4 linked regions of the Callithrix jacchus genome follow. The protein of the gene in region 1 interacts with the protein of each later gene in a biochemical or structural test. Links are inferred from orthologs where the notes say so. Each region holds a gene or a part of one and is shown in the gene's direction. Other genes may lie near its edges. The genes, in order: LYN, FASLG, DOK1 and KIT.

The links.
Region 2: the proteins of LYN (region 1) and FASLG form a complex in vitro, tested with the Homo sapiens proteins (2 studies listed by BioGRID, with this or other methods). The link is inferred for Callithrix jacchus from reciprocal best matches to the Homo sapiens genes LYN and FASLG.
Region 3: of the proteins of LYN (region 1) and DOK1, one has a biochemical effect on the other in vitro, tested with the Homo sapiens proteins (2 studies listed by BioGRID, with this or other methods). The link is inferred for Callithrix jacchus from reciprocal best matches to the Homo sapiens genes LYN and DOK1.
Region 4: the proteins of LYN (region 1) and KIT form a complex in vitro, tested with the Homo sapiens proteins (2 studies listed by BioGRID and IntAct, with this or other methods). The link is inferred for Callithrix jacchus from reciprocal best matches to the Homo sapiens genes LYN and KIT.

Annotation. Positions count from the first base shown.
Region 1 is NC_133517.1:12,278,678-12,285,935, forward strand, and holds the start of LYN (tyrosine-protein kinase Lyn), read left to right. Parts: upstream 1-2,918; 5' UTR 2,919-3,187; intron 3,188-7,258. UniProt on the Homo sapiens protein: Non-receptor tyrosine-protein kinase that transmits signals from cell surface receptors and plays an important role in the regulation of innate and adaptive immune responses, hematopoiesis, responses to growth factors and cytokines, integrin signaling, but also responses to DNA damage and genotoxic agents.
Region 2 is NC_133519.1:30,106,441-30,113,864, reverse strand, and holds the start of FASLG (tumor necrosis factor ligand superfamily member 6), read left to right. Parts: upstream 1-2,385; 5' UTR 2,386-2,486; coding exon 2,487-2,831; intron 2,832-3,381; coding exon 3,382-3,427; intron 3,428-7,424. UniProt on the Homo sapiens protein: Cytokine that binds to TNFRSF6/FAS, a receptor that transduces the apoptotic signal into cells. Involved in cytotoxic T-cell-mediated apoptosis, natural killer cell-mediated apoptosis and in T-cell development.
Region 3 is NC_133515.1:38,641,106-38,648,408, reverse strand, and holds DOK1 (docking protein 1), read left to right. Parts: upstream 1-2,608; 5' UTR 2,609-2,645; coding exon 2,646-2,705; intron 2,706-3,041; coding exon 3,042-3,341; intron 3,342-3,472; coding exon 3,473-3,557; intron 3,558-3,768; coding exon 3,769-3,953; intron 3,954-4,161; coding exon 4,162-4,968; 3' UTR 4,969-5,401; downstream 5,402-7,303. Other genes in the region: LOXL3 (lysyl oxidase homolog 3), read right to left, coding at 188-500; M1AP (meiosis 1 arrest protein), read right to left, coding at 6,571-6,729. UniProt on the Homo sapiens protein: DOK proteins are enzymatically inert adaptor or scaffolding proteins. They provide a docking platform for the assembly of multimolecular signaling complexes. DOK1 appears to be a negative regulator of the insulin signaling pathway.
Region 4 is NC_133504.1:142,095,143-142,102,295, reverse strand, and holds the start of KIT (mast/stem cell growth factor receptor Kit), read left to right. Parts: upstream 1-2,338; 5' UTR 2,339-2,396; coding exon of another isoform or gene 2,397-2,463; intron 2,464-3,265; exon of another isoform or gene 3,266-3,478; intron 3,479-7,153. UniProt on the Homo sapiens protein: Tyrosine-protein kinase that acts as a cell-surface receptor for the cytokine KITLG/SCF and plays an essential role in the regulation of cell survival and proliferation, hematopoiesis, stem cell maintenance, gametogenesis, mast cell development, migration and function, and in melanogenesis.

The DNA of each region.
Region 1 (7,258 bases):
AGAAAGGATACCAGAAGGCACAGCATTGCCTTTTCCCACCACAGCTGGGAGGGTGTGCATGGGGCAACTCAAGATCTTTACTGCTGTGGGATGTGCATGTCTATGAGTGACTGGGACAGCACCTCAAGTACTGATTTTGGGGTTGCAGATAAATTTTAGCAAGTAGGTAAATTCACAAATATGGTATCTGCAAAAGTGAGGATACACTGTACATAATTAATGTATTCCCACTACTTCACTCTCCTGTCCTGCCCATCTTATTCCTTCCTTTCTTCAAAGGCCCACCTACCCTGTCAAGGAGCCTTGGTTGATTTGCACCCCGCCTCTGATCACCGCCTTCTGGGCTCAGTTTAGAGAATACTGGTGAGATAAATCAGTCAATCAATCAATTAACCAATCATTCAATTTTTTGTTTTTTTAAGATGGGGTTTCACCATGATGGGCAGGCTGGTCTTGAACTCCTGACCTCAGGTGATCCACCCACCTCGGCATCCCAAAGTGCTAGGATTACAGGTGTGAGCCACCGCGCCAGGCCAAATCATTCAATATTAATGAGGTATTTTAAAGCACCCAACATAATTTTTGGGTGGTAGCGTGGGGAACAGATAAATATGAAAAACAGTGCCTTTCCAAAATGAGTTTTGCAGTAGTTGAGGAGAGAAGGCTAACATGTAAAACAAGGGCAAACAATGTTAGAAAGTACCTAGGTCTATTTAAAACCATCAGATCTAAAAAAAAAAAAAAAAAAGTACCTAGGTTTAGTTGAAAAGAATGTTGCATACTGTACATGCTATAGATGCTTAGAAACATTGCCTATCAAGGCCAGTCACAGTGGCTTATGCCTTTAATCCTAGCATTTTGGGGGGCCGAGGCGGGTGGATCACCTGAGGTCAGGAGTTTGAGACCCACCTGCCCAACACGGTGAAACCCAGTCTCTACTAAAAATATAAAAAATTAGCCCAGCATCGTGGTGAGCGCCTGTAATCCCAGTTACTCTGGAGGCTGAGGCAGGAGAATCACTTGAATCCGGGAGGTGGAGGTTTCAGTGAGCCGAGATCACACCATTGTACTCCAGCCTGGGCAACAAGAGCAAACCTCCGTCTCAAAAAAAAAAGAAAAGAAAAGAAAAGAAAAAAGAAAAAAAAGAAAAGTTGACTATGAATAGGAGCTTTAAATCAAATTTTCCTGAGAAACAGAACTTTCATGGGACTTTAGGAAGGAAAAACAGATATAGAGAATGATTGAATGAAGTATTCAGCAAGTATAAATGCAGCCTAAGAAGTGGAAATTAGCATGGTATTGTTTCTTCCAAATAAGAATGAAGAGATGAACTTAGTGAGGACATCTTGTGTGTGAGGAGTTGGGAGTTGGGGAGCTGGGTTCATCAAGTTCATGTCTGCCTGATGATGCTCTCCTTACCTGGAGAGACATTTTACCAAAGACACTGACAGACATTCCTGATAGATTAGCCAATACCAAACGTTTTGAACCCTACTCTTATTTGCCACTCATGTTTAGCCAGGATCTTAAGGATTCATCAGTAGCAATAGATACTTGAATGTAGGATTAACATATTTGAGAGGTCATTCTGAAGAAAAGAGCAGGCAATAGGCTCTCAGGTGAATTACTCCATAGGATTCTTTGTTTTTGTTTTGCTTTGTTTTGTTTTTTTTCCATAGGATTCTTGGTAAGTTTCAATCACACACCTTCCCATGGGTAACCCACCCCTTCTTCTCTTCAGCAGCAAACTAACTGAACTACACACCAGTGAACATCACAGATATAAACCACCCTCCTTTTCTTCTTTTAAGGAATTCGTTACTATGGAAAGGAGTACTAAAGTTTGCAAACTTAGTACTCAGATTGCCGTATCAGATTGTGTCACAAGGCAGCTGCTTTGACCTCTTGCACTGCAGCTGGGGCCAGCCTCTTCAGAACATTGTTGAGAGGGAAAGCAAGTGCTTTGGGCACTGTCTGGCCCATCAGGCCCTCTGTAAATGTTTGCTATTAATGCAAAGACCAAGTCTCCCACAGTGTCCAATTTGCTTCCTTGTAAATTCTTCAAGGTAATGCAATGCTGGGATCCCAGTGAACAGAATCTGGCTTCGACGTGGGTATCCATGGTGTCCGAGCCTAATCTTACATCTTGGATAAGTTGAACATGAGCTTGAGCCCGCGGTCACACATTCTTTCAGCAAATACTGGTTGGGCATCTGCTACTTGCAAGCACTGCCCTGCATGCCGGCATGCAGCTGTAGCAGGAACGAAGTAACAGCCAGCATTCCCGCATGCGGGCGGTGCGGCCCGGGTACAGAAAAGTACACGATAGGCATCCTTACATCCATTTTCTGGGGGGAAACTGAGGCTTTGAGAAACGGAGAACTTGCCGGGCCATTTGACTCCATGTCATCCCCTCCCCCATCAATGCCCTGAACAGCCTGCCCTGAACCCTGCACACCCTGAAGGAACTTACTTTGTAATGATTATTAAGAGCCCGAGACCCCGAGCCTCAACCCGGCACATCGCATCCTCTCTCTACAGACCCCCTAGTGTTGGAAGGGATCAGAGCTCACCTCCTCCGTTCCCGGGAACACCCCTTTCCTAACACCTTGAGGAGGGGTCGGAAGGAAAGGAAAGGAGACCCGCGAGATGTCGTCGATGCGCCTGCGAAGCCGAGGCTACCCGGAGACCTGTCCGTCCGTCGGTCCCGGCAGAAGGATGGCCCGGGCTGCTCCTCTCGCCGGAGCTGCAGGCTGAGTCGCCAGGTTTCTGTGCCTTCAAACCCTGCGCGACGGCCACACCAAACACCCAAACCTTGGGCAGGGACCAAACGGTCACTTCCCCGCCCTCCGGGCTCAATATGCAAATCCGAGCACCAGGAAGTAGCTGGGACCTCTCGGTCGAGCCCAGAGACAGCCAGTTCCTCTCCCGCCGCGCCGGGCCGCGCTGCCGCTAGCTCCCCGGCAGTGGCGCCTCCGGGCCCGACTAGCTGCAGCCTCCAGCCCGCGGCAAGCTGGGCGGCCGCGCCACCCCCGAGCCCGCGCCCGCAGCCCCTCGCCGCGCGTCCGGAGTTCCCAGCCAGCAGCCTCCCCCTACGCGGGTCCCGCTGGGCCGCCCCGTCGCGCCCCCCGCTCTGAACTCAAGTCACCGTGGAGCTCCGCCGCCCCGAAACTTTCACCGCGAGCGGGTGAGTCCTTGGCGCGAGCCCAGGGTGGGCGCGGGCGGCGGGCGGTGGGTGCAGGGGCGGCGGCTGTGCCACCAGCCGGAGTGACGGGCGCAGGTCAGCTCGGGGCCTGGGGCATCCGCGCGGCCGGCGGCAGCTTCCTGGCCGCACCGCCTCCGGCCCTGGCGGCGAAGACTCGCTGATCTCTTCAGCCAGCGGGTGACCCGGCCCAGGGGAGCTAGGGCGCTGGGACTCGGGCTCCGCAGGTGTCCGCGCGCGTAGCAGCGCAGGAGGGTGATGGGAGGTGAGGGCGTGGGGGCGGGCTCACCGCGGGTCCTTCCCGGCGCGGGCCCTTCCCGGCGCGGGCCGGAGGACCGGCTGCTGTCCCCGCACCGGCGGCTTCTCGTGCACCGCGGGCAAGCCCCTGTCCTTGCGGACTGGGCGCGCGGCGGGGATCCTGGAGAGGACTCCTCCGATTGTGCAATCTGGTCTCCCCTCTGGACCCTGGGTCCCCAGAAAGTGGGAGGTGGGGTTTGGCCGACGCCCTCTCCCAGGCCCGCGGACAGCTGCCTTCCCTGGTGGCCCCCGGCAGGAGCGTGACGTCGAGGGGCTGCGGCAGAGGCCGGAGCTCACCCTCCCGCTGCGGCGCCTCTCCGCCTGCAGAGGAGCAGTCCGGTGCATTTGCCGGCTGAGAGGAAGCGAGAGTTATTTTAAGAATTCGGGGGTTGCCTTTCCTTCTTCGCCTTGGGGGAAGGGCGTTAAGAGTCAGTTCCCACTTTCCTGCGTTCTCTGGGCCTATGGTGGTATCTTCTCCTTGCGGTGCATTTGTAACTTTCCAACCGCCTGCCAACCCTGTGGACTTGTGGTTGTGTCTTCGTTTCTTTGCATGCCCGTGTGTGTTAATTATCCCCAATTCGCCCTTCTTTGCCAGCTTAGAATCCAGGCCTTGCACTTTTCTGGCTGTATATTTTGGGGGACCGATTATTGAACTCTGGGCTTCTTCATCTTTGAGAGAGCATATATATCTCAGGGGCTGTTTAGTACAAACAAAGCCCCTACTACATACTAGGCATTTTGTAAACGATGTTACTGTTATTTATTGCAGTAAATTCTATTCACATAGAGAGGCTCCTTGATTCTTTGCAGCTTGGTGATTTTGAACCTACGTCTACTGTCTGAATTTAGTCATCTGACCTTATTAGTAAATCTGCTTAATAAATACGTGAGGAATCTGCTGCATCAAAGCAGGTGCCAGTAGTCTGACTTGCCCTATAGAACTAGCCAATAAACTGGTGGGCTGCAGGGATGTTTTCTCTGTACAGCCGACCCCTAAAGCCATGTCCTGGCGAGTAGGTACTGCAAGATCCCAGGACTTACTAAAGCCTTCTCTGAAAGAGTAAGCTTTGTTGGAAAAGGGTGAGATCCAGTTAGTCCCTCCATTCTCATTTGGAGGTAAGCAGGTAAGCACTTTGAGGCTTGAAGAAATTTCATTAGATCATAGAGCCTCTGGTGACTGGGCCTCTTTTGATGCAAATGTATGGCGCTTTTGCTGAGTGAAGGATAGAGGGCAGCAGACATAAGGGAAGAGAAAATAGGAGCTGGGAGACTTGAGTTTGGCCTCTTCCACCATTTAGTATGCTGTGATTTGGGATAAGCCACTTGGGCCCTTTATTCAGCTAATATTTCCTTTATAGCAGCAGCCAGAGTTATACTGATCTGTCTGCAGGTTGATAGTCTTCACCACTACAGTGGAAGCTCCATGAAAACTGCTTCATCTGTTTTGTCCAAAATGATAGCCCCAGTGCCTGGTACATAGTAGGTGCTCAGTTTGAGATTACTTGGAAAAAGGAATGAAGGCCTGCTGTGAGCTGGCAGTATGCAAAACTGAGGACACAGGGAGATGAAGAAATAGAGCTGGTCCCCAAGGTATCTGAAGCCTACTGGCCCTTTCTGTTGTGGTTTCTAAAACCGGGATTTGAGGGGCTTTGTTGACTCAAAGTTACCCAGCACCGAGTTACTTACATTTAGTGTTCTAAATGAGAATTTCCACTCAGCACTGCTCTTCTCTACTTATCACTGGAAGAGAGGTCCTGATGTGGGGTGGTTAAGATGTTTCCTGCAAAGGTATTTGACCCACATTATTTTAGAGTCATTCATGTTGCCAAGGTAGGTGGAGACTTTGTAATCCCATCCCCACCCCACCTCTCCAATGACTTTCTTTTAGCAGAAAAGTGGTCCAGCACTGTTCAATGACTTTGAAAGCCTTTTACTTCTCTCTGTAGTATATGTTTTCGGAAATAAATCCCAAAACATCTGCGATTCCAGTTGGTTCACATGACTATGTGGAGTTGTAACTTAACAAAATTAAATAATGTTATCCATGTACAAACCCATACTAACTTTATAAATAAGGATACAATGTATACATGCCCACAGCAGGGAACATTGTTCCATGCTCACAACTACTGATGATCTCAATGATGCTTGGATGAGTGTTAACACTGAAAGGCCACCACAGTCATTAGTCAGGACATTGATCAATGTCATATTGACAGCAGAGATGGCCTCAGGCCTTTCCCGGCTCTGCTTAGCGATGATGGTGAAGGTGTTAGCACCTTTCACTTGTTCAGGCCTCCGAAGTCTTCTTGAACTCTAATTTCATTTGAACCTTTTGTGGCTCCTATAAGTATGGAGAGGGACAGAAACAGAAAAAGATTCAGGGGCTTGTCCAAAATCATGGGCTTGGTTAAGTGGTACCATTAGGAATAGTAGGTATGTTTCTTGGCACTTTCTTCTCGTCCACCTTTGGACCTGTGGGTGCTATATTACAGATGCCTCTCAACTTACGATGAGGCTGTGTCTCAATAAACCCAATCATAAGCTGAAAACACTGAAAGTAGAAGATGCGTTTAATAAACGTAACCTACTAAACATCATAGATTAGCCTAATCTACCTTAAACATGGTCGGAACACTCAGCCTACAGTTGGGCAAAATCATCTGCCACAAAGCCTTTTTAATAATAAGGTGTTGACCAGCTCATATCATTTATTAAATACTGTATTAAAAGTGAAAAATGAAATGGTTGTATGGGTACTTAAAGTACAGTTTCTACCGAGTGCCTAATGCTTTTGCTCCCTTGTAAGGTTGAAAAATCATTAAGTCACGGACCATCTGTGCTTAAAAGCAAAGAAATAATTCATTTAACAAACATTTTAAAAATGAAATCACAAGTTAATTTTGTTTTATCACTTGGTAATTGTCTGCACTAAGTGGCTAACTGCTCAGGACACAGCAGATGCACCATCAAGCTAGGCACTTAAGCTGTCTTCTGGAAATGAATTTCTGTGCTTTTTAGCGCCGCTTCCTGCTTGGGGGTGGGAAAGGGTGGTCTCCAGTAACTGCTAAGGTGACACCTATTCTGGCTGCTGTCCAAGCAACTCTAGTGATTGTCTTGGGGGGCAATCCATTGCTCACTGTTTAATACAGAAGTACCCGAGTAATACTTTGCAAAAGGACTTTCCCCCCTTCTCCTGGAAGTGTCTCCCCATAAACTTTACCAGCCTCCTGAATGGTTGTTGTATCAGTGAGAGCATTATTCAAGGTGAAAACATAAATTAAGGAGACAGGGCTCACAGGATGCACGTTAAAACACCTGCCCATTGTGTCCACCTGCTGTGTGCAAGGCACTGTTCTAGGCCCACAGTATAGATACACATTACCTCCCGTCCGATAATGGAGGCTGATAATGAAGAGACGAACATGGAAGAGGAAGTTGTTGGGTTTTTTTCCAGTCAGAAGTACTGAAAGATTTCGTACAGCTGCCTAGTTTCCTGATACTTAAATTGTGAAACTTTGAGTTCACTCCATTATCATTTCTAAAATTGATTTTGAGTAAGTTCTCATTTGGGGGAGACACCCTAGTATAGAAAGTGGTATGCAAATCTGACAATGGAGGGATTAGAAATTTTGTAACAGCCAGTTTAAAGACAAGGACCTTCTGAGATGGACTTCGTTTGTTTGTTTATTTTTTTGAGATGGAGTCTCACTCTGTCAACCTAGCCTGAAGTGCAGAGGTGCAATATCAGCTCATTGC
Region 2 (7,424 bases), on another chromosome or scaffold:
TTTCTGATTATAATGAAGTTTAAACTTAGTTTATAACGGTAAATAAAGCCACATATGAGTTCAAAAGCTCGTTAACTCGTGCACAGTCTTGCTAGTCTCATCCCTTGCCCTGTTTAAGAGTGGCGAGTGGGATGTGAGCAGGAGTGCCTGGCAAGGAGGCAGTGGGAGCTGATGCTAAAGAGCCTTGGGTAATGCTTAAGGAGCTTGCACTACTCCTGGTATCAGACCTTTCAACACAAGGCAGGGAAGTGAGATCGTTAGGTTTGCTTTTTAAAACGTCTTTCTCGTAGCATTTTACTGGGTGATTCGGGCTTGGGAAAAATTGGTGGCAGGTCACCTGTTAGGGCATCACTGCAGTATTTCAGGTGAGAGATAATAAAAATCTGACCCTGGGCAATAGCAGTAAGAAAAATGGGAATGGCAAGGGTGGGGCAGGGGGAACCTTATATTGAGGGGAGGGTAAGGAACAGGTCTCAGGTAAAAGCAACAATCCTGGGTGACCAGTTAAATGTTGGGGGAGAGGAAAAGAGAGGAGATGAAGTTGTCTCCAGAAAGAGTGGCCTCAGGAGAAACAGGTTGTGGGGGGATGGGGTTGGGCTGGCGTGGGCAGAATCCATCGGGGAAATAGTACCTTTGGTATTGGTTTGGTACAGGTGAGTGGGCCTGAATGATAGCCACAGAAATCCCAAAGCATGATATAAAAACTAATGAAATTTGAAAAGTAATAAACCTGAAAAAGAAAATGACAAAGTGGGATTTACAGGGCATTTGTATGGCTTATATTGGAGAATAATTAGGACTGAAGCTAACTACTTGGAAGTTATTGGCATATAAATGGTATTTGAGGCCAGAGGAGAAAGGGTGAGGTGAGTCCAAGGAGAGAGGCCTGCTTTAAATGAAACAAAACAAAGAAATAGGGCACAGAGTTAAATTTGAATGTCAGATTATACAATAAATAATTGTTTAGTATATTCCATGTGTGGACACGTTTAAGACATACTTGCCCTAAAAATTATGTATTATTTATCTGAAATTCAAATTTAATTGGTCACCATGTGTTTAATCTGGCAACCATAACAGTGGCTGCACAAGAAATGTCAGCAGAGACCAGGCAGGCCTTTCAGATGGTGAGGTGATGTGTAAGACACAGGGGCGTGGTGGAGGCTGGGTGACCCAGAACACCTGTCCTTCATTCTCAGGGGTAGCTGCTACCCATGGCCTTGAGGGTGTCCGACATTCTGATGTTTCAAAAGAGAATAGAAATATTTTTTTAATGTGTATTTAAAAATATATAATATTTTTAGTATCAATATTTAAAGTGGTCAGTTGGGCTGGCTGAGTGCAGTTGCTCATGTCTGTAATCCCAGCACTTTGGGAGACTGAAGCGGGAGGATCTCTAGAAGTCAGGAGGCTGAGACCAGCCTGGGCACCATAGCAAGTCCCCATCTCTACAAAAAAATAGAATAAATTAGTCAGGTGTAGTGACCTATGCCTATAATCCCAGATACTTGGGAGTCGAGGCAAGAGGACTGCTTGAGCCCAGGATTTTGAGGCTGCAGTGAACTATGGTAGCACCACTGCACTCCAGGCTGGGTGGCAGAGTGAGACTCTGTCTCTCTTTAAATAAATAAATAAATAAAGTGGGCAACCAATGAAAAGAAAAACATGTGAAATACAAAGCAGCTCTGTGGGTTCCACTGGTTTGCAGCCTCTGAGCTAATTTCTAAAGTGGGTGTAGCAGGTTTTTACTCTGTAAATTATGGTGATTTGCTGGTCAGGGTAGATGATACTTGTGTGTGGGGAAGGGATGATGGCAACAGATGTTTTCCTTTTGCAAAAAGTAAAATGTGGGAGTGACTTCTTTGGCCATGACTTCATGGTCTTTCACCTCAGAGCCATTTGCAGTAAAATTTATGGATTTAAAAATATGATTCTGAACAATTTTTGTTAGAGTTATTTTGGGATTTTAAAATAGTTTTTTGGTTGTATGTATTGTAGAATTCTTAAAATTATATAATGATAATTTATAAAAATGCATACGATTATAATTCATAAAATTATATCTCCACTGGCCATTCTCCTGTAGCTGGGAGAAGTTGACACCAACAGGGCTACATCCCAGTGCTGACCTGCTCTGCAGGACCCAAGGAAGGGGAGCACAGCCTACCAGCCTTTTTGGGTAGCCCAGCGACAGCACCTAGGGCTTCAAAGGCCTTCATAAGAAAATTGTGGGCGGAAACTTCCAAGGGGTTTGCTCTGAGCTTCTTGAGACTTCTCAGTTTCAGATGCAAAGTGAGTGGGCGTTTCTCTGAGAAGCAGAATGAGAGAGAGGTGTTTCCCTTAGCTATGGAAACTCTATAAGAGAGATCTAGCTTCCTTTCTCTTGAGCAGTCAGCAACAGGAGTCCTGTCCTTGACGCCTCAGCCTCTACAGGATTAGGAAGAAATAAGACCATTTGCTGGGGCTGGCTGGAGTCACCGGCTGCCATGCAGCAGCCCTTCAATTACCCATATCCCCAGATCTACTGGGTGGACAGCAGTGCCAGCTCTCCCTGGGCCCCTCCAGGCACAGTGCTTCCCTGTCCAACCTCTGTGCCCAGAAGGCCTGGCCAAAGGAGACCACCGCCGCCGCCACCACCGCCGCCACTACCACCTCCACCACCGCCACCATTGCCTCCATTACCACTGCCACCCCTGAAGAAGGGAGGGACCCACAGCACAGGCCTGTGTCTCCTTGTGATGTTTTTCATGGTTCTGGTTGCCTTGGTAGGATTGGGACTGGGGATGTTTCAGCTCTTCCACCTTCAGAAGGAGCTGGCAGAACTCCGAGAGGTAAGCCTGCTGGTGGACTGCCGTGCCCTGGAGGCACCTGGCATAAGGGGGTGCAGGGCCCACTGCCTGGCTTGCCAAGTGCTTTTCAGTTCTTTTTTTTTTCCTTAGAAATGGGTTGTTCTAGTTATTCTATTCTATAGGCAGAGAAATGGAGGTTCACATGAGTGAGGGGAATATTTTTTGTTTCGTAAAGCATCAGAGCCCAACAGTTTTCTTTTCCTCATGTGTCAACTCAGTCTGTTGAACCACTTCCTGCCTCATACCTAGTGATTCAAGGAGTAACAAACAAACCAAACTTTTAAGTTTTGCTTGGAAGTAAATTTGTTCAGATGACCAAACTGAATCTTGAAAGTACTTAAAATATTGATATGATTCCAAATCACAAAACTGGGGGACAGTGAGGCAAAATTGCTTGGACAAAGCCTGAGTTAACAAAAGTTCTGAGGTATTTGGATTCTTTTTCCAGGGCTTGGTTTATTTGACAATTCTGCCTCTTTTGCTTAAAGAGTTTTATTTTTTTTATACATCTTTTCTCTTTCTCTTTTACTAGTCTGCCAGCCAGAGGCATGCAGTATCGTCTGTGGAGAAGCAAATAGGTGAGTCCTTTTTTTGTGGGTACAATGAGTTCCCAAAGATGATCCTCAGCACTGAACTATGTTAATGGAATGCCTTATATTCTGTCCTACACTTTGGCTTATGTATGCTATGAGAGGAGTTCTGGCTGATTCTGAATTTCTGGTCAATATGATTCCTCGAGCTGCTTTAAAAATGTGAAGTCAATTGAATTGCTCACAATCAGTATAGCTGAGCACAGCACACAATTCAAAATCACTTTCACTTGACTTTGGAGACACACATACACAACTTGGACCTTTGCCCCCTGAGGAAGGTCTGTCGCATTCCACAGGCATCTTGGTTGTGGCACACATGCCAGTGGCTTTGACTCCTGGGAAGAGAAGGCGAGGTGAAGGCAGAGATAGATGTTTCTCAGAAACGTCCTCTCCTCTTTTAAACTCTCTAAAGAGATTACAGTGAAGCTTAATTTATAAACTATTTTATAGGATGTATGCTTTTAATGAGGATAATCAATTGCCCACAATAGGATGGTTTTTCTTGAAGTCACTGAGTAGCTTAGGGGAAGACTTCAGCCATCATTCAAAGGACATTCAGCTTCACCCACAGAGACGGTCATGAGGTACCCTTGATCACAAAGGAAAACCCTTTGTATGGGAGCTAGGACAAGAAGATGACATGTTGAACACTGATCTCATGAAATGTCAGGGCATAGTTTTGCAAGCTCTGTACAGATAGATTTTACGGCACACTTCACTAGTCTAAGGTTCACTGAAATTTCAGATTTAGATTTACAATGCGATTCATTGAATTTTTAGAGTTGGAAGGAAGCTTAGAATATATCTAGTCCAGTCATTCTGTCTTTTGGAAGAGAAACAAAATACCAGACAGATTAGGTGAACACGCCCAAGAACACTGGTCTGGAACTGGGGCTGGAAGGAACACGGGCTCTTGATGCCTTGTCACCTACAGGGCTTTCCAGCACATGGACTGGTGCCTCATCAAGTAGGGAAACTCCTGACTGTAGTGACCATGGAATGAGAAATAGATGAAAAGCAGAATACCTCTGCAAAGAGAATAGGTAAATCTCATCCTTAGAAACTCAGAAGCAAGCAGAAGGCAGCACTGGCCAAGAAGTGGAGCAAGTTCCCATTTCTCTGGATGTGGCTACTGCAGGCAACCCAGTCGCCTGTCTGCTATCCCAGATTGTTAGGTTCTTGTAGGAGCCACTGTTGGATGCTCTGGCTCCTGTGTCTGTGTCCTAATCCTTATATGTTAGAACTTCCACATGTACACAAGCAGAGTGGAAATATTTGTTAAAAAAATAAAGCCTCTGGAGGATGTCTTAAATAAGATCATTTTGAAAATCTGTGGAATGTGCCTGGTCTGATAGGTACCTAATTATTCATATTTCACCCACTCTTGAGTCAGTTTAGTGATTAAAAGTCAAATGATCAGATGAGTCAGGTCTATCTGCCTGGTAAGCAATTATCTTCTCTAGATGGACCAGAAATTGGTAAATTATCACATGGCTAATAAGAAAAGAGATTCAAATTAATATAATGCAAATTAAAAATAGGAAATATCAAGTTTTCATCAAATTGGTAAAAATTAAAAAAAAGCACAAATTGACAAAGATTTGAGAGAAAAGAGCCTGTTCAAACATTTGTTTCAGCCAGTGTACATGTAAATTGCTATAGCTTTCTCTGAAGAGCACTTTGGATATACAATCAAAAGCTTGGAACTAATAGTTTACGTTGTAATCCCATAGCTAAGAATTTATCTTAAGAAAATAATCAGAGATGTGCCTGTGCCTGAAGATTTACATATAAGGATATTCATTACTTCCTTATGAGCCTATTTATAATAAACAATTCAGAAGAAACTTGAATGCCTCATACTAGGTTAGTCATATACATTATGATGTATTCAGACAAGTGCTTAATAAGCAGCAACTAAAAACATATCAGAAGGACGTTTAATGCCTTGGAGATTGTACACTCTATTGTTAGATAAAAAGACAAGTTACAAAAGAGTATGTTTAGTTTCATACTGACTATGTAAGCATGTATGCACATATTTATATTCTTAGAAAGGAACTAGAAAGTTTTCTATACTGATGTACTCACAGTGATTTTCTCTGAGAGATACTATTATAGATTATTTACACTCTTTAATTGCCTCCTTTTTATATTTTCCATTTTTTTTCCGTTAACTAATTAAATATCTTATTCATTCACATCTGTGAGGCTAGATGTTGGGTGCTGGATGCTGACTGAGGGTGAGTGAGCCCAGGGGGCCTGTCCTTATGGAGCTTTTAGCATGGTGAAGAAGCTAAAAAAAAGCAAGCAAAAAGACCATGCAATTTCAAAGTTACTCAGTGCAACCTAAGATGGAATGGCCTGGAGAACCCTCTCTAAGGAGGTGTTGTTTATGCTGACACCCGTGGAGGTCAGAAGCCGCAGAGTGAAGGGCTGTGTGCATGTACTGTGGAGTGTGGTGGGGCTGGGAGAGAGCATTTCAGTGCTGGGAATGGCACGTGCAAAAAACCTGGGGCAGGAAGCACTCATCACCAGTGTCTAGGATATATCTGCAGTTTATTTATTCCAGTATTTGTATAGCAGCTATTCTTAGTGAGCGTCTTCTATGAGAATAACATTGTACTAGGCTCTGTGAGGGATATAAAGACATGTGGTTCTCTCTTCCATTTCCTGCCGGTGCATGGCTGAATGCCAGATTAGTTGCTCAGATGGTTTGTGGTGTAGGAATGCAGAGGAAACTCAGTTTTGCCTTTCCTGTTCACTAACACCGCCTTTGTGGTGGGGTGGCTTGGGTGACTACAGAGGTCATGATTGTTCAGGCAATGTTCTCTGTGGATTGGGCTATTCTCAGACCATGTGTGAGTATTACAGGCTAATCATGAACCTGACACAGACAAGCACTTTGTGTGAATATTAATTGATATCTCAGTTAGCTGAATTCATTAGCTAAGTGGCAGCTGTCTATCTTGTCTGAAATAGTTGAAGTCAGAGAAATAGTATCTGTTTTGAGAACTATTGTCTGTCCTTCCATTTAATTTGTCCAGCATTTGCTAGTAACATATCCTGTGTTAGAAACTGGGCTACTCTGGTGAATTCAACATATTGTAAGAAACTTGTCATTATTTGAGGGGAATAAGATAAGTTATGTAGTTATCCTAGAGAAGAGGAGTCAGAAAGAGTGGGGAAAACAGGGTGATCCTAGATTTCAAAAGAGGGAAAGATTGTATTTGATCAAAAAAGGCCTGACAGGGTTCCCCAAAGAAAGAGATATATTAGATTGTCCTTGTGGGATGTTTAGGAATTTGACACAGAAATCTGTTTGAAAGAACATTATGGGTGGAAGACATGGCATGAACCAAGACACACAGGAGGGGAAGTGAGGGTATGTGTAGGCCACAGAACTCCCGTTGTGTGGCAATGCTCAGTGGGAGTAAGGAGATAAGGCTGGGCAGATTGGCTGGGATTGTGTGATAAGAAGACGCATATACAACTGCATCTTTGGGAAGGAGCCATTAAAGGGGTTTAAGCCTCAGTGATATGAGGTGATTGTCTGAGTTCTTAATATAATTAATTTGGAGCAGAGTGTAAAATGTCATTGGGGGAAGACCTGGTGACACGCAGACAGATCAGCAGTCTTTAGTCTCTGTCCTGTAAATCTTAGGGACGAGAGAATCAGAGTGGACAGAGGCCTGGAATTGGAGTCAGGAGTCCAGGGTGTGGTCCAATTTCTGATACTGTCTAACTGGGTCTTCTTGAACTAGTTACCCAACTTCTAAGCTCATTTTGCAATCGATAAGGTGGGATAATAATACATACCTCAAAGGGTTATGGTGAGTTCTAAATGCAGTAATTGACATGACAGCTCTTTATGAATAAATGTTTATATTAATTATGTTTTATTGTAACATTATAATTTATGCATATATCAATCATAATTTGGTTTGTTTTTTACTTCTTCGTTTCTGAAATATAGACTACT
Region 3 (7,303 bases), on another chromosome or scaffold:
AAGCACCGACTAGCCTAAGGTCACACAGCTCTGGGAATTAACTTGTTGCTTGGTTTGTCATCCACAGGTTTATTCAATCTGGCTGTTTTTGGTGTCCTGTGTCCCTGTGGCTGTGCCATCCTGGTGTTCCCTCTCCCTGTACATTGGTCACACTTAATACCTAGGATATGCCTGGATCATTGCTCACCTGTTCCAGGGCCATATTTGGCACTGTGGGTCCAGCCTGTGGCCTCTGTGAAGCCCAGCTCTCGGCAGAGGACATGGGCAGCCTGAAGCGTGAAGTCATCATCGCAGATGGTGCCCCATTCACCAGCTCGCTGTATCTCCACACGGCCCTCGTAGGGCTTCCTGGGGAAGCCAGCCAGCCGGAACCGCAGCCCCTGGCTCTCGGCCCTCTTCTCAGGGTCCGTGGAAGGGGACGGAGACCCCAAGCACAAGCTGCACAGCAGGCACAGCAGCAGCCCCCGGGCGCTCCACTGCCAGACACTGACAGGTCGCATGGCAGGGAAGGCCTGGGTGCCCCAGAGAGAAAGTGTGTGAGGGAAACTGAGATTTAGTGAGGCTCAGAGTTGGAAAGAGAGAGAGAAGTAATGAAGGGAAAACAGACACCCAGTAAGACCAGAGACAGTGAGGGACAGCAGGAGAGAAAGAGAGACCCCAGGGACCAAGAGAGACAGGGAGAGAAACACATTATTAAGGGCAGAGGCACAGGTCAAAGAGACACAGCCTGAGAGACCCAGAGATAAGAGACAGCTATGAGAGGCAGAGAGTCAGAGAAGGGTCAAGGAATAGAGATAGAGACTGACCAAGAGACACGTAGAGAGGAAGACCCAGACAGACAGGATGTGAGAGGAAGGGAGACTGTGGGAATGATAGAGAGAAAAACAGAAAGATGCAGAGGAGAGAGACAATGGGTAGAAGGTGGTAGGGAAAGAACCAAGCACTCAGCATAGGGGAACCAAGCACACTGCGGGTGAGGAGGAGAGGGACTGACAAGAGCCAAGGGGCGGACGTGGGAGGGATCCAGATGACCCCATTTACCCAGACAGAGGACAGACAGCTGTACTGATTGTGCAGAGAGGCACGTAGGGGGCCCTAGGCGGCCTTGGATCCCCTGAATGGGAGCCCAGTGTCCTACCCCAGCAGATTCTCAGGCAGGGAAGGCTGGCACAGAAGCTCCTCTGGAGAACCTGCTGCAACCCTCTCCAGTACACAGGCTCTCAGATGCCCTGAAGGGTCAAGAGGCCCAGGAGGGCCAGGCCTCAAGGCTGGGCGGGGGATGGGGTAGGCTTGTCCAAGCCTTCTGCCAGCGCCACCATCGCTGTCACCGGGCAACCGGAGGCCAGGCGCTATGACTCCTCAGCCAAGGCCTTCTCTCTCTAGGGCTGAGAACAACCCCTCTACAGCAAGCCCCTGCCAATATGCTTCCCCCAACCCAAACAATCAATCCAACAAGGCAGCTTTGTTCTGGGGACATTTTGGCTTGGGGACCCAGGAGAAGGGCCTCCCGGAGGAGCCCCCTGCCTTAGGGCGCTCCTGGCTGCCCCGTTCAAAACACCCAGAGCCCTCGCCTCCAGTAAGTGCCTCCTCTCTGTACTCTGTCTCATTGCCCTTTGACAAGAATCAGACTCTCAGTTGGGTGGCTTCCCCTCGATTCTATCCCACACCACTCGTTTTCTCTGGTCCCTCCACATCCTCTCCATCCCCTATTCCGCTCCCTCCGCGGGTAGCGTGACTCCCCCTACCTTGGCCGAGCAGGACCCTAAGGGCTGGGAGAAGAGTGCTGGTCCTCGAGATCAGTCCTAGGACTTCCCCCAAAAAAATGCTCGGCCAGGGAAGACTGGACCCCCCTCTCTCCCCCCCCTCCGATCGTCCCTCCCACATCTCCCTCAGCCCTCCCACATTCCGCCTTCTCCCTCCATTCTTCCCGGCCAGCTCCCTCCTCGCCTCCTCTGGGTCCTCCCTCCCCGTGGAGCTGGCCACTGCCGCGCCCCCTCCCCCTCCCCGGCCCTCCTGGCCCACTCAAAGAAGCTTTCTCTTCCCTGGCATGGAGGCCAGGCCGCTGCGGTCAGGGAGTCGACTTGCAAGCGGCCGCCGGGCGGCGGGGCGGCCCCCTTGGTGGCGGGAAAAGGTCCAGCCCCAGCCGCCGGCCCCGCTCCGAGTCGCTGCCGGTGGGGTGTAAACAGCCCCGCTCGGGCGGGGCTGGGGGCGGGCCCGGCAGGGGGAACTGAAGCCCCGGAGGCCCTTGTGGGTATCTCGGTGTCCCCGGGTGCCTGCGGGCGCTTTTGGGGTGATGTCACGGCTTTCACTCTGATGTCATGTTGGGCATATGACGTCACGCGCAGCCACCACGCCCAGAGACCGGGGTCTTCCCGCCGAAATCGAGGACTATCTCTCCGTGGAGCCACCGGCGCGCCCCCACGACGGCGGGTAGGGGTTTGGGGTGCTGCACTGCCCGGCTAATCCGGGGACCACCACCCTTCCTTCTAGATGCTCTCCCTCACCCCACCGTGACCCCTCGGCGGCGGCCGGCGTGCTGGGAGGGACGGAAACGCCTCCAGGGAACCCGGCCCCTCCTCCCTCCCCGCCTCCCGCCCCGCCTCCCGCCGCAGGGCCAGGAAGCGCGGAAGGAACTGCCAGGGGCCATGGACGGAGCCGAGATGGAAGGGCCGCTCTTTTTGCAGAGTCAGCGCTTTGGGACCAAGGTAGTCGGGGGCCGCGGATGCCGAACCCCATCCGGGCTAGTAGTGGGTGAGAGAGCCCAGAAACAGGGAGAGGTGGGCAGCGGGCTGGAGCGCGGCGCCAGGAGTTGGAGAGCCTGTGATTTTTCCCGCGAAGTTGCTTTGCACGCTCCCGAGAAGCGTCTGTAGTCTCGGGGTTCTGGTCCTGCAGAGAGGGAGTGGCATCCTCCTTGGGAAACTTCGCCCAGCTTTTGGAAGCCCCAGACCCCAAATCGACCCGCACCGCTCCCTCCTTCCCCGTCGGGACCGGGCCCGCCCGCGCACGCCACTCCCTCTCCAGTCCTCTCGCTCTCTCCCTAGAGGTGGAGGAAGACCTGGGCTGTGCTCTACCCGGCCAGTCCCCACGGTGTGGCGCGGCTCGAGTTCTTTGACCCTAAGGGGTCGAGCTCTGGAGGTGGCCGAGGGAGCTCGCGCCGCCTGGACTGCAAGGTGATCCGTCTGGCTGAGTGTGTGAGTGTGGCCCCCGTCACGGTGGAGACCCCTCCTGAGCCCGGCGCCACTGCCTTCCGCCTGGACACTGCTCAGCGCTCGCACCTGCTGGCGGCCGACGCACCGTCCAGTGCAGCCTGGGTGCAGATGCTGTGCAGAAATGCCTTTCCGGTGAGGGGCTGCGGCGATGCGGGGTGGGGGCAGTTACAGAGGCAGAGAAATGGGGCCGGCTCAGACCGCTCCCACCTCCCCAGCCGCGTTGAGGAAATTACAGGTTTCTTGATGTTCTCTCTGTACTACAGAAAGGCAGCTGGACTACCGATAACCCACCTAAGCTTTCTGCCCTGGAGATGCTGGAGAACTCCTTGTACAGCCCCACCTGGGAAGGTAGATGCTTGAGAAAGCCGGGCAGGGATGGAGTGAGGAGGGAGGAGTGCCTTTGGGAAGTGGGTGGATACCCAGGGACCCATGGGGAAGTAGGAAGGCCCTGAGATCTGGCTTCCAAGTGAGTGCTTGGACCCTGAGGCTTCTGGGTCCCCACTGCTGCCCCCCCCCTCCCCCGTCCCTCCTGCCGCAGCTAATTGTATATGCCTTCCAGGATCCCAATTCTGGGTAACGGTGCAGAGGACTGAGGCCGCCGAGCGCTGTGGCCTGCATGGCTCCTACGTGCTGAGGGTGGAGGCTGAGAGGCTGACTCTCCTGACCGTGGGAACCCAGAATCAGATACTGGAGCCACTCCTGTCCTGGCCTTACACTCTGTTGCGTCGCTATGGCCGGGACAAGGTGCAGTGGCTGTCCCGGAGGGCTTCCTGGGTTGGGCAGCTGTGGGTGGGGCAGGACAGAGGTTGGTAGTTCTGACCTTCGGATTCCCCTTTCTTGCCTACCCGGATACCCCACGTCTGTTCCCAGGTGGTCTCTTCTTTGTAGATACCCTGATTAATGCAGGCCTGTGACTCACTTCCTCTGATGGCTCCCTCTCCACCCTCCTCAGGTCATGTTCTCTTTTGAGGCCGGCCGCCGCTGCCCCTCGGGCCCTGGAACCTTCACCTTCCAGACGGCACAGGGAAATGACATCTTCCAAGCAGTTGAGACTGCCATCCACCGGCAAAAGGCCCAGGGAAAGGCAGGGCAGGGGCACGATGTTCTCAGAGCTGACTCCCATGAAGGGGAGGTGGCAGAGGGGAAGTTGCCTTCCCCACCTGGCCCCCAAGAGCTCCTCGACAGTGCCCCAGCCCTGTATGCTGAGCCCTTAGACTCCCTGCGAATTACTCCACACCCTTCCCAGGACTCCCTATACTCAGACCCCTTGGACAGCACCCCTGCTCGGGCAGGAGAGGGAGTACAACGGAAGAAAGTGCTCTATTGGGACTTGTATGAGCATGCGCAGCAGCAGTTGATGAAGGCCAAGCTGACGGACCCCAAAGAGGATCCCATCTATGATGAACCTGAGGGCCTGGCCCCAGCCCCTCCCCAGGGCCTTTATGATCTGCCTCGGGAGCTCAAGGATGCATGGTGGTGCCAGGCTCGGGTGAAGGAGGAAGGCTATGAGCTCCCCTACAACCCTGCCACTGATGACTATGCTGTGCCACCCTCCCGGAGCACAAAGCCCCTCCCTGCTCCCAAGCCCCAGGGCCTAGCCTTACCTGAACCTGGTACTGCAACTGGCAGTGGCAGCAAAAGCCACAATTCAGCCCTGTACAGCCAGGTCCAGAAGAGCGGAGCCTCAGGGAGCTGGGACTGTGGGCTCTCTAGAGTAGGGACTGACAGGACTGGGGTCAAGTCAGAGGGCTCTACCTGAGAAGGAGGGCAAGGCTGAGGTCGCTGAGGAGGACCATGGGGAGGTGGCACTTGGGTCAAAGAAAATGGTTAGAACCAGCAGAAGCCAGAGGGTGGGAGGAGCCGTGCTGTGTGAGAGCAGGGGACCAGAGGGATGGGGGAAGTCAAGGGAAGGACTATCCCAGGAAGTCCTAAGAAGTGGGACAGATGACAGGCCTGAGGGATGGACTCTACCTCCCCCTAATACCATCCCTTCCCCACTTCCCCAAAGGAAGGGACAGCTGCGGGAGCAGGTCTGTGGAAAGTGGGGCATGGTAAGAGTGGTTGCAGTTTGAGGGCCTGTGTGGAGGTCTCGGAGATGCTGGAATGTGCCTGGATCCTTACCCCTGCATTGTTCTTTGCCAGATATCTATTTCAAAATTTTAAAATTCTCATTAAAGTCAGCTTGGGTTTAAGAATTTTGTGTGTGTGAACAGAAAGCGGGGACACAGTGGTTGGGTTGGGTGTGGTGGGGTTCAAGAGGAGAACCAGGAATGTGTTGAGAGTAATGGAGAGGAAAGAGGCCCAGAAAGGGAACAGGAGTGTGACGACGGTTCAGAGCCTGGGGAGTCAAGTCAGGCTGCCTGAGGCTAGACGAGAGCTCTGTGGCCCTTGGTGAGTTGTGGAACATCTGCAACCCTCAGTTTCCCCTGTGCCCCCTGTAAAATGGGAAAACTATAATGAGCTCTACCTCACAGGGCTTTTTGTATGAAATTAGATACATTATAAGTATTTAGTGTAATCTGAAGCACAGAGTTGGTTTTTGTTTGTTTTAGTTTTTATTTACTATTTATGTAGAGATGGGGGTTTTACTATTTTGTCCAGGCTGGTCTCGAACTCATGGCCTCAAGTGATCATCCTGCCTCAGCCTCTCAAAGTGCTGTGATTGCAGGTGTGAGCCACTGCTCCCAACCCAGAGGAAGTATTTTATAAATGGTAGCTATTCTGTGGATGGAGGGAGCAACAGGAAGGTGGGTACGTGTGGGGAGAGGGTAAAAGGAAAGGAGTAGGTCTTTTCTACACCATCCTCTCCCCTGTTCTGGGCTATATGGCAGCACTCCCACCCCACAACACACACACTTTCCATGTAGGTACCAAGCACTTGTCTGTTTGGAGGCTGAAGGCTGGTGGTGTAGCACGAAGGCCACAGGCTCTGAACTGAGGCTTGGATTTCAATCCTACGTGTCTTTTTGAGGTTTGGAAACCTCCTCCTTGTTCCTGAGTCCCATTTTACTAAAGGTGACCTGACCTCATCCACCTGCTTACACTGAGCTACAAGAAGAAATTCTGGGTTGGGAATTCTAACAATGGTGGAAGCTTATTGGGTGTTTAATCTTCACCTCTGTAAACAGTATCAAATGATTTAAAAGAAAATGAGAGTCCTTGCTGAAGAAGGGACAGGCTCGAGTGTGTTGCTTCTCCACTTGAGGAGTGGGACAGCATGAAACAGAGGTGGGGAAGGCGGCTCTTGTTTCCCAGGCAGCCCTCACTCACAGAGACTCAGGCAGATAGAAAGCAGGTCTGACCACAGATAGCCATTATGTGAACTTGAGCATGGATGTGGTTAGGCTCTGGTGCTGGTGACTTAGGGCCCTGAGGGATCCTCCTCCCATTCCGAGGGCAGAAAGAAGGTGTCTGAGGAAGATTTGCCGGCTGCTGGCATCTTGGAGGCTCTGCCAGGGACAGGAGTCACAGGCAGGGGGGCCACAGTGGCTCGAGCTCGGTTGGTCTGCAGCTGCCCAGTCTGCAAAAAGAGCAACCAGAGCCTTCTCTGAAGATCAGTTTCTGTGTGCCTATCCCATTCTCTGTTGGGCTTTCTGTCCTAACTCTTTTTTAAGTCCCAGCCCTGGAGTAACAGCCTCAAGGCCCAGGACAATGATTTGGAGTCCCTTGAGCCTAGCCTCCACAGTGCCTGTCTCCTTGGCCAGTGTCCTACCTCTGGCAGCTTGCCTAGCAGCTAACTTGTTGTAGCCCCTGGTCCTACCTCTAGTTTGGAAATGTCCTTCTGTAATTTTAGCTAAGACAAAATGAGATTTTTTTTTTTTTTTTTTTGAGACAGAGTCTCGCTCTGTTGCCAGGCGCCAGGCCTGCAGTGGCGCGATCTTGGCTTACTGCAACCTCCATCTCCCGGGTTCAAGCAATTCTCCTGCCTCAGCCTTCCGAGTAGCTGGGACTACAGGTGCACACCACCACGCCCAGCTAATTTTTTGTATTTTTTAGTAGAGACGGGGTTTCACCATGTTGGCCAGGATGGTCTCAATTTCTTGACTCATGATCTGCCCCCCTCGGCCTCCCAAAGTGCTGGGATCACAGGCGTG
Region 4 (7,153 bases), on another chromosome or scaffold:
TTATATATTATGCTTCCTTCCTTTATTGAACAGGCGGTGGGGGGGGTACTATTAAAAACAACTAAAGGTACAAGTACTGGAGGCTCTCTGTTGTGGCCAGCATTAACATTTGAATTCCCAGATCCAGGAGATTTGGTGTGTCTCAAGGTTGGGTTGGAAGATGTTTCAGGGGATGGCTTTTTCTGTAATCAGCACAGAAGGATTTCAATATTGTTCCAATAAGGCCAAATTGGTGTGTACTGGCTGAACATAAGCTCTGTTAGCAGATATTATAGTTTCTTATTTGAGTACCTATTTTCCCTGCTGGACTGTGAATTCTACTAGGCAGAGACGTTGTCTTACTCATTTATGTGGGTCTTATGCCTACCTAGGGGCTCAAAAAATATTTGCTGAATGAAAAACAGGAATGACAGTCCAACATCGTATAACTCCCTATTCAGTTTTTTTTCCTGATAGAAGATTCTTGCTTAGAATTAAATTGCAATATGGTCTCTTTTCACCCACTCTTTTGAAGATGTTATCCTCTCCAATATCAGCTGATAGAAGAAGAAAATTGTAAATTTTCTCTCTCAGGCATAATGTTGATATTTTAGCTCGTAGTGATTTTTTCTCAATACAAAATGGATTTTAGAAATATATCAAGATCCCAGAAACTTATGATTGCTTTGAGTGGTATCTTTTATCTGTCATCCTAAGAAAAGCATGAGATCTGATGGCCCAGAGCACAGACCTTTTGCATTTCAGTTCTCCTACAGCTGCAGGACTTGAAACTTTTGCTGGGAGATTGGGATGTAGGTCCCATACTTGATTATAAGGACTGTGAGGGCAGGGGCCACACCTGCATATCTGTCTATTAATAATAGTACTCCTGGTACCTAGCTCCTCCTTGCTTCACAGCAGACACTAAATGTTTGCTGAGTGAACAAATACATACATTTGAAGAGAGGCAAATATACACATTGATTATTTGATCATCCTCTAGTACTGATAATTTCTAAGTGATTAGCTTTAAAAATCACTTTTCTTACATCATCCTGGGCCCTGTCACCATTAAACAACAGGAGAGCTTTCAATATCCAATGAAGTGGGGTAGCTGGGCAACTATAAATTTTGGATGATACTTCAGAGAAGAGTCTAGGTGTATCTGTTCTATCCCTTTTTCTGATGGGCAACTGCCATTCATTTTCCATTCTTAAGCTCTCAGGAGGGATGTCTTATTAGTTTATCAAAATGCTTAGGGGAAGCTCATCTTTCTTGGAGTAGGTCTTCAAACAAGGGTTTTTCCTTCGCTACAATAAGAAACATACCTGCTCTATACCCCTCACAAAGCTGTTATCCTGAGCATGAAAGAAGAGTCGGTGTGGAGAAGAACTAGTAACCCCTACACTGTTGCTGCTTTCCGTTCAAGGATCCACCATGAGACCGTGGGTAGAGCACTTTCTGGGCAGTGAAATCTGGCTTAAAAGAATCGTTGTACTTTTATCTTACTCCTGGGACCGGCAAGAGCAGTTAAGAGGAACACAGGGATCCCTAGCCCTGAAACCGTCGTCTGATACAGAGGCAGAGAAATCATTACAGGGGTTGGCAGCATTGGGGTGGGGGGAGAAATGTGTAAGAAAACCTGGGCTCCCAGAGCAAACTTCGCAGCGCGCCCCTCCCCACTCCCTCGCCCCAGTCTCCACAAAAGTCCGGGTACGGGCTTCTTGGGCGTAGGCCAAGCCGACCAATAGGAACTCACTGTGTCCTTACATGTTACAAAGCAGGTGGAGAAACTGAGCAGAAACAATTAGCTAAGCCAGGCTCAGCCTTTACCGCGGTGCCAGGCGCTCCTAACAGGCCTGGAGGGTAATGTCGGGGCTCAATTTCCTACCGCTCCCCTCCCCATCCCCGTACCTCCACCACCAGCGGCGTCCAGCCTACTCTCGCTCGAACGCGCCGGAGGGGCGGGGAGCCGACCTTTATTGTCTGGAGAGCACCTGGCAGGTGGCGGGCCCGTGCCCTAACGTGCGCGTGGTGCCCAGCTTCACAAAGCCAGCGGGCAGCACCTCCCTGGTTCGGGAACGGCCTCGGACGGGCAGACCACATCCCGGGGTTGGAGAGGTGGAGAGAGAAAGGGGCTCCGGGGTCAAGAGCCAGCGGCAAGGGCGGGCACAGCCCCCCCGGCATTAGCACGTCGAAAGAGCAGGGGCCAGACGCCGCCGGGAAGGAGCGAGACCCGGGCGGGCGCGAGGGAGGCGAGGCGAGGAGGGGCGTGGCCGGCGCGCAGTGGGAGGGCGCTGGGAGGAGGGGCTGCGCTCGGCGCTCGCGGCTCTGGGGGCTCGGCTTTGCCGCGCTCGCTGCACTTGGGCTAGAGCTGGAACGTGGACCAGAGCTCGGATCCCAGAGTAGCCACCGCGATGAGAGGCGCTCGTGGCGCCTGGGATTTTCTCTGCGTTCTGCTCCTCCTGCTCCGCGTCCAGACAGGTGGGACACCGCGGCGGGCACCCCGGCCGTGCGACTCCTCGGCGAAACCTGTGCCTGGGAGGGTGGTACACGCCAGGGTGCGTCCGGAGGGGGAGCTGCGGGCCCTCAATACCCTTGCGTTCCAGCCTCCGGGGAGACTCCAGGCGGCCCTCGGACTCTCCAGAGGCCTGCCTTGCTCACCTGTGCGAGGAGACCTCAGCTGCTGGTGGTGGGGGGCGCGAAGCCGGGGTTCTTTCGGGAGTGGGGACAGCAAGGGGGTTAGGCGTGAGCGAGGCTGCAGGCTGCATGTGAGTTTGGGGTAGCTTTTGTGCCGATGGTGCGCTGGGGGCGGAGGCGGGCGGCTCAGGGGTTCGCACCGAGCGCCTTATCTCTCCGTGCGAGGCGCGGCCGCAGATTCCTTTTGTTAAAAGTTGCGTGTGTGTAACCGGTGCCCAGGATGACCTGCCCACAGGTTCTCCGCCACGCGGAGGGCAAAGTTAAAGAGCCCTTTCTCTCCTCTGCGGCTGCTGCCTTCCAACCGCAGGCGCTCTTTGTGCCCAGAGCTGGGGACCGACCCGCTGCTGCCTCTGCTCGCGGCGCCACCCGTGGAGACGAATCGAAGGCTGCAGCGTTTCCCCGCCTCCTGGTTAGGGTTTTGCACGGGAAGCGTGCGGCGTGCGAGTGTGGGGCTGGACCCCCGTGAACCTGGCGGTAGTGGCGACGGGGACAACTTGGGTAGGGCGTGTGGAAAGCAGCCGCTAGGTTGCAGACTTTTTGCTTTCCTACATCGCGTGCTCGCCTCTTTCTGCCGTGGCGCCGTTTCATTCCTGCCAAGCGCCCCGGGGCTGCTGGAGGCTGCGTTTGCCGCCTGCTCCTCTAAGGCAGCGGACAGCGTGCTGATACTCTGCGGTTTCTGACCCTGGCCGCCTAGCCCGCTGGCCCAGTGCCTGGCCTGCCTGGCGGGCTCTGGAAGCCCCTAGTCCGGCTGCCTGCGAACTGTATTCGCAGGTCCTTATTTTCTTAGGACATTTTTGAGGTTCGTAACCGCCCGTCTCTCCACTCCCGGGGCGTCGAGACTTCGGGGCTGCCTGGGGATGGAGAGGGAGATGGAGTGGAACTTTTTGCAAATCTTAGTTCTTAAAGCTGTAACAAAAATCTAGGTATATTCGCGTGGGAACTTGGGTCTTAGGTGTAGGACTTCCAGGCTGCTGGAGCCGCTCGGTCAGATTCCTGCCTCCGGTTCACTTGTTTTCTCGGTGTCGCTGGTGCGCGCGAGTGCAGGTCGCTCACTGAAGCTAACCCCTGAAGCCCTGTTCTCTTCCAGGTCATTTTAAAAAACAAACCTTTAAGGTTACCCTGATGATGTAAGGATAGAAAGTGAGTCTGAGCTGGAATCAAGTGCTTGAAAGGAAGCGGCGCAATGAAGGGTTGTGAGACTGTCGACTATCGGTCAGTTTCTCTAGAAAGCTTCCAGGCGCAGCCTCCCGGGTCCTCGTCTTGTAACCATTGTGAGGGCTTTCCTGTGGGGGTAGAGAGGCCTTGCATCTGGACCCCTGCGCAGCAGGAGGGGTCAGCAGGGGTCACGCGGGAGTCTTCGGATTCCCTGGAGGATTTGATTACCTGTCTTAAAAAGACTCATCTGGTCTTTGTTTTTGTGCCTTGGCCTTTTTAATATCAGTTAAGGTATGTGAACTAGACCCTACTAGGAGACTAGAAAGACAGCCCACATTGAATATCTGCCTTTTAAAAAATTAAATGAATCAATGGTTTCCTTCTTCCCAGTAGATTTTTGGCAAAGGAAATTTGAAGGTCTGCCTCCTGGGGGGCAGTGTGGTATAACGACCAAGCCTTGCTCTCTCCCCGGGATTCTCCTTTTCTCTGCCATTCCTTGGCTGCGTGTCCTTGGGCAGGGTGCTTACATTCCGGGGAATCCAGTGTCCTCCAGAGTACAAGGGGGCATCTGCATCCTGAAGTATCCTTTGCGTCTAGAATTATCCTCCAATGTTCTAAGTGTAGACTCAGCAGTCTTTTCAACTATTTCCCTGGTCTCTGCCTGCCTCTTTGAAATTCCTCTGCCTCTCCTGCTCACAGGGACCTCATAGTGTATGGTTGCATCTGACTGGAGCTGTGGCTTATGCTGCCCGCCCCTCAATTCCCATATATTCCTCTGCATTGCTCTTTGAGGGCTAGGAGGTACCCACTTTGTCCTAACCCTCATTCTTCTCCTCCCCTTCCCCCCTACAACAGTATTACAGCTCCTGTGCCTAACAGGATGAACCTGCAAGGAATAGTGAATCATACCTTCTCGCCTCGTTCCTGCAGGTGTGAGGCTGGAGTCATTCTCAGCAGCTGGACACAAGGCACTCTAAATTATCCTGCTGGAAATAATAAAATGGTCTTATAAAGAGATCCCAGACAATTCATTTATCCCTATTGTTTTTCCCCCCACTCATCCCCCTATTTTCTTCTCGTGACTCTGTAAATCCCGTATGCTGTGCATTTACAACATACTTTCTAACGCATCTTAAATTCCGTATGACATGTGTGATACATAGTTGTTGCTCTTCAGTTGGAAACGATGTACCAGGCCCGGTGCTTGGGGCTTTACCTGCTATTTCTAGTAGTCTCAATGAGCCCAGGAGGTAGTACTATTACTCTAATGTTTTACAGCTGGAGAAACTGGCAAGAATAAGCCCCAAATCATCAGTGGTGAAACCTGATGATTTCTCACTACCATGAAGGTAATGAGATTGGCTTCATGTGCCCAGCTGTATATCCATTCACATTACTCACCAGAATCTGTTGTAAGATTCATTCAAAAATATTTAATGAGTTTTTACTATGTGCCAGGCATTGTTGGAGGTTCTGGGAATGTAGAATGGCCAATGTCACTACCTTCCTAATTTTGGTCAAAAATACTGAGAATTGCATGTCTTATGACAAGAGAGTATTTGTGGAGGGAGGATTCATTAAATTTTAGCTTGGAGAAGGGGCTGTAGGCATTTAACCTGTGGTATGCTGGCTTTAGGTGTTAGCTGACCCATTCCAGGTAGGGTCTCTGAAATGAAGGTAAGCTGTCTCTAAAATGATGATGCAAGCCAATTTAAATCCATCTCTCCAAAACATAAACATGGTCTTGTGCATAGGTGGGAGAGAACACCCCTAATAATGGCTGATACCATTGGCTATTTACCCTGGATAACACAATGAGAAATAACGACAATTTACCATCCAGGGCCATTTTTTCTCCCAAAAGAAATTCTCATCAGAAATGTGCCAGGTATTCTGCGGGCTTTCCTTGGAGCACATTTATGTAAAGATGTTGTGGTGATGAATTTTGCTGCTGTTGTTGACAGTCCTTCAAAGTTACCCTTAGGGTTTTGACTCATTTCCTCAAGCTTCTTCCAGATAATTAAAGAAGGACACAAGGAAAAGAATCACAGTGTCTCCAGTGGAATTTTCAGAGCTGGACTGCAGTGTGGGGACCCCTTCAAGGTGTAGTGGTCAAGGCTGTGGCAGCATTTTCTCCAGAATGAATTCAGTTGAAGAGTTGGCAGGCTATCATGTTGAAGTGCTTTCTTTTGCTGCATTAGTGTGTGGTAACTTTTAAAAAGAGGAATTAAATGACATTTACAGGAATCCAGATATGCAGAATTGCATGTGCAGTTTTAGTAACTTGAATAGATATTGCCATAGCTATAAGTCCAGAATGAGCAAGGCCTGGGAGGGAGTAAGCGGAGGTAAAAGTTTGCCTGGAGGGCAAATCCAGTGTAAATCTTTGTTGTACATAGAGAGGACTAGAGTTGAGTCAGTTTGGCCCAGCAGCTCTGATTTCTGACATTTTTTGGACATGATCATACTGCTCATCTTTTGACCTCAGATTCTTAAGTAAAGGGCAGTTGTAATCTGATAGCCGGCGGAGACGTGTTTTGTTTGGCCTACATGATGCTTTTTAGAAAACATTGAGGTGATATTAAACAATCTAGAGTTTTTATCAAGATCTCTATTTCTGTCTTCTCTCTAAGAATTGAAGGTCATGGCCCCCGTAGATGGGGCCTGTGCTCTTCAGGTTGCATTAGGCTCTAGGACTTGATCCTGCCAACCCTTAGCATTTCCCACTGGGCTCTGGTGAATGCAGGAATCCAAATCTTCCCCCTGGGACCACGCAGAGGCAGATGACAAGTAGGAGGAGCACAGTCCAGCCTACCTTGTGTTGGTCTGATGGCTTCATGACTGACAGCTCTGTAGCCTTCAAGCAAAAAATGGGATTAAATGACACTTGGAGGAATCCAAATATGCAAAATTTCCCGTGCAGTTCTGTTAACTTGAATAGATATTGCCACAGCTGTAAGTCCACAGTGAGGAAGGCCTGGGAGGGAGTCAGGAGGTAAAAGTTTTATTTTTATTTATTTATTTATTTGTTTGTTTGTTTGTTTATTTATTTATTTATTTTTGGAGACAGAGTCTTGCTCTGTCACCCAGGCTGGAGTGCAATGGCGCGATCTTGGCTCACTTCAACCTCCACCTCCTGGGTTTAAGTGATCCTGCCCCAGTCTCGAGGCACTGGGATTACAGGCTCCACCACACTCGGCTATTTTTTTGTCTTTTTAGTAGAGACAGGGTTTTACCATGTTAGCCAGGATGGTCTCAATTTCCTGACCTCATGATCCCATGATCCGCCTGCCTCGGCCTCCCAAAGTCCTGGGATTAC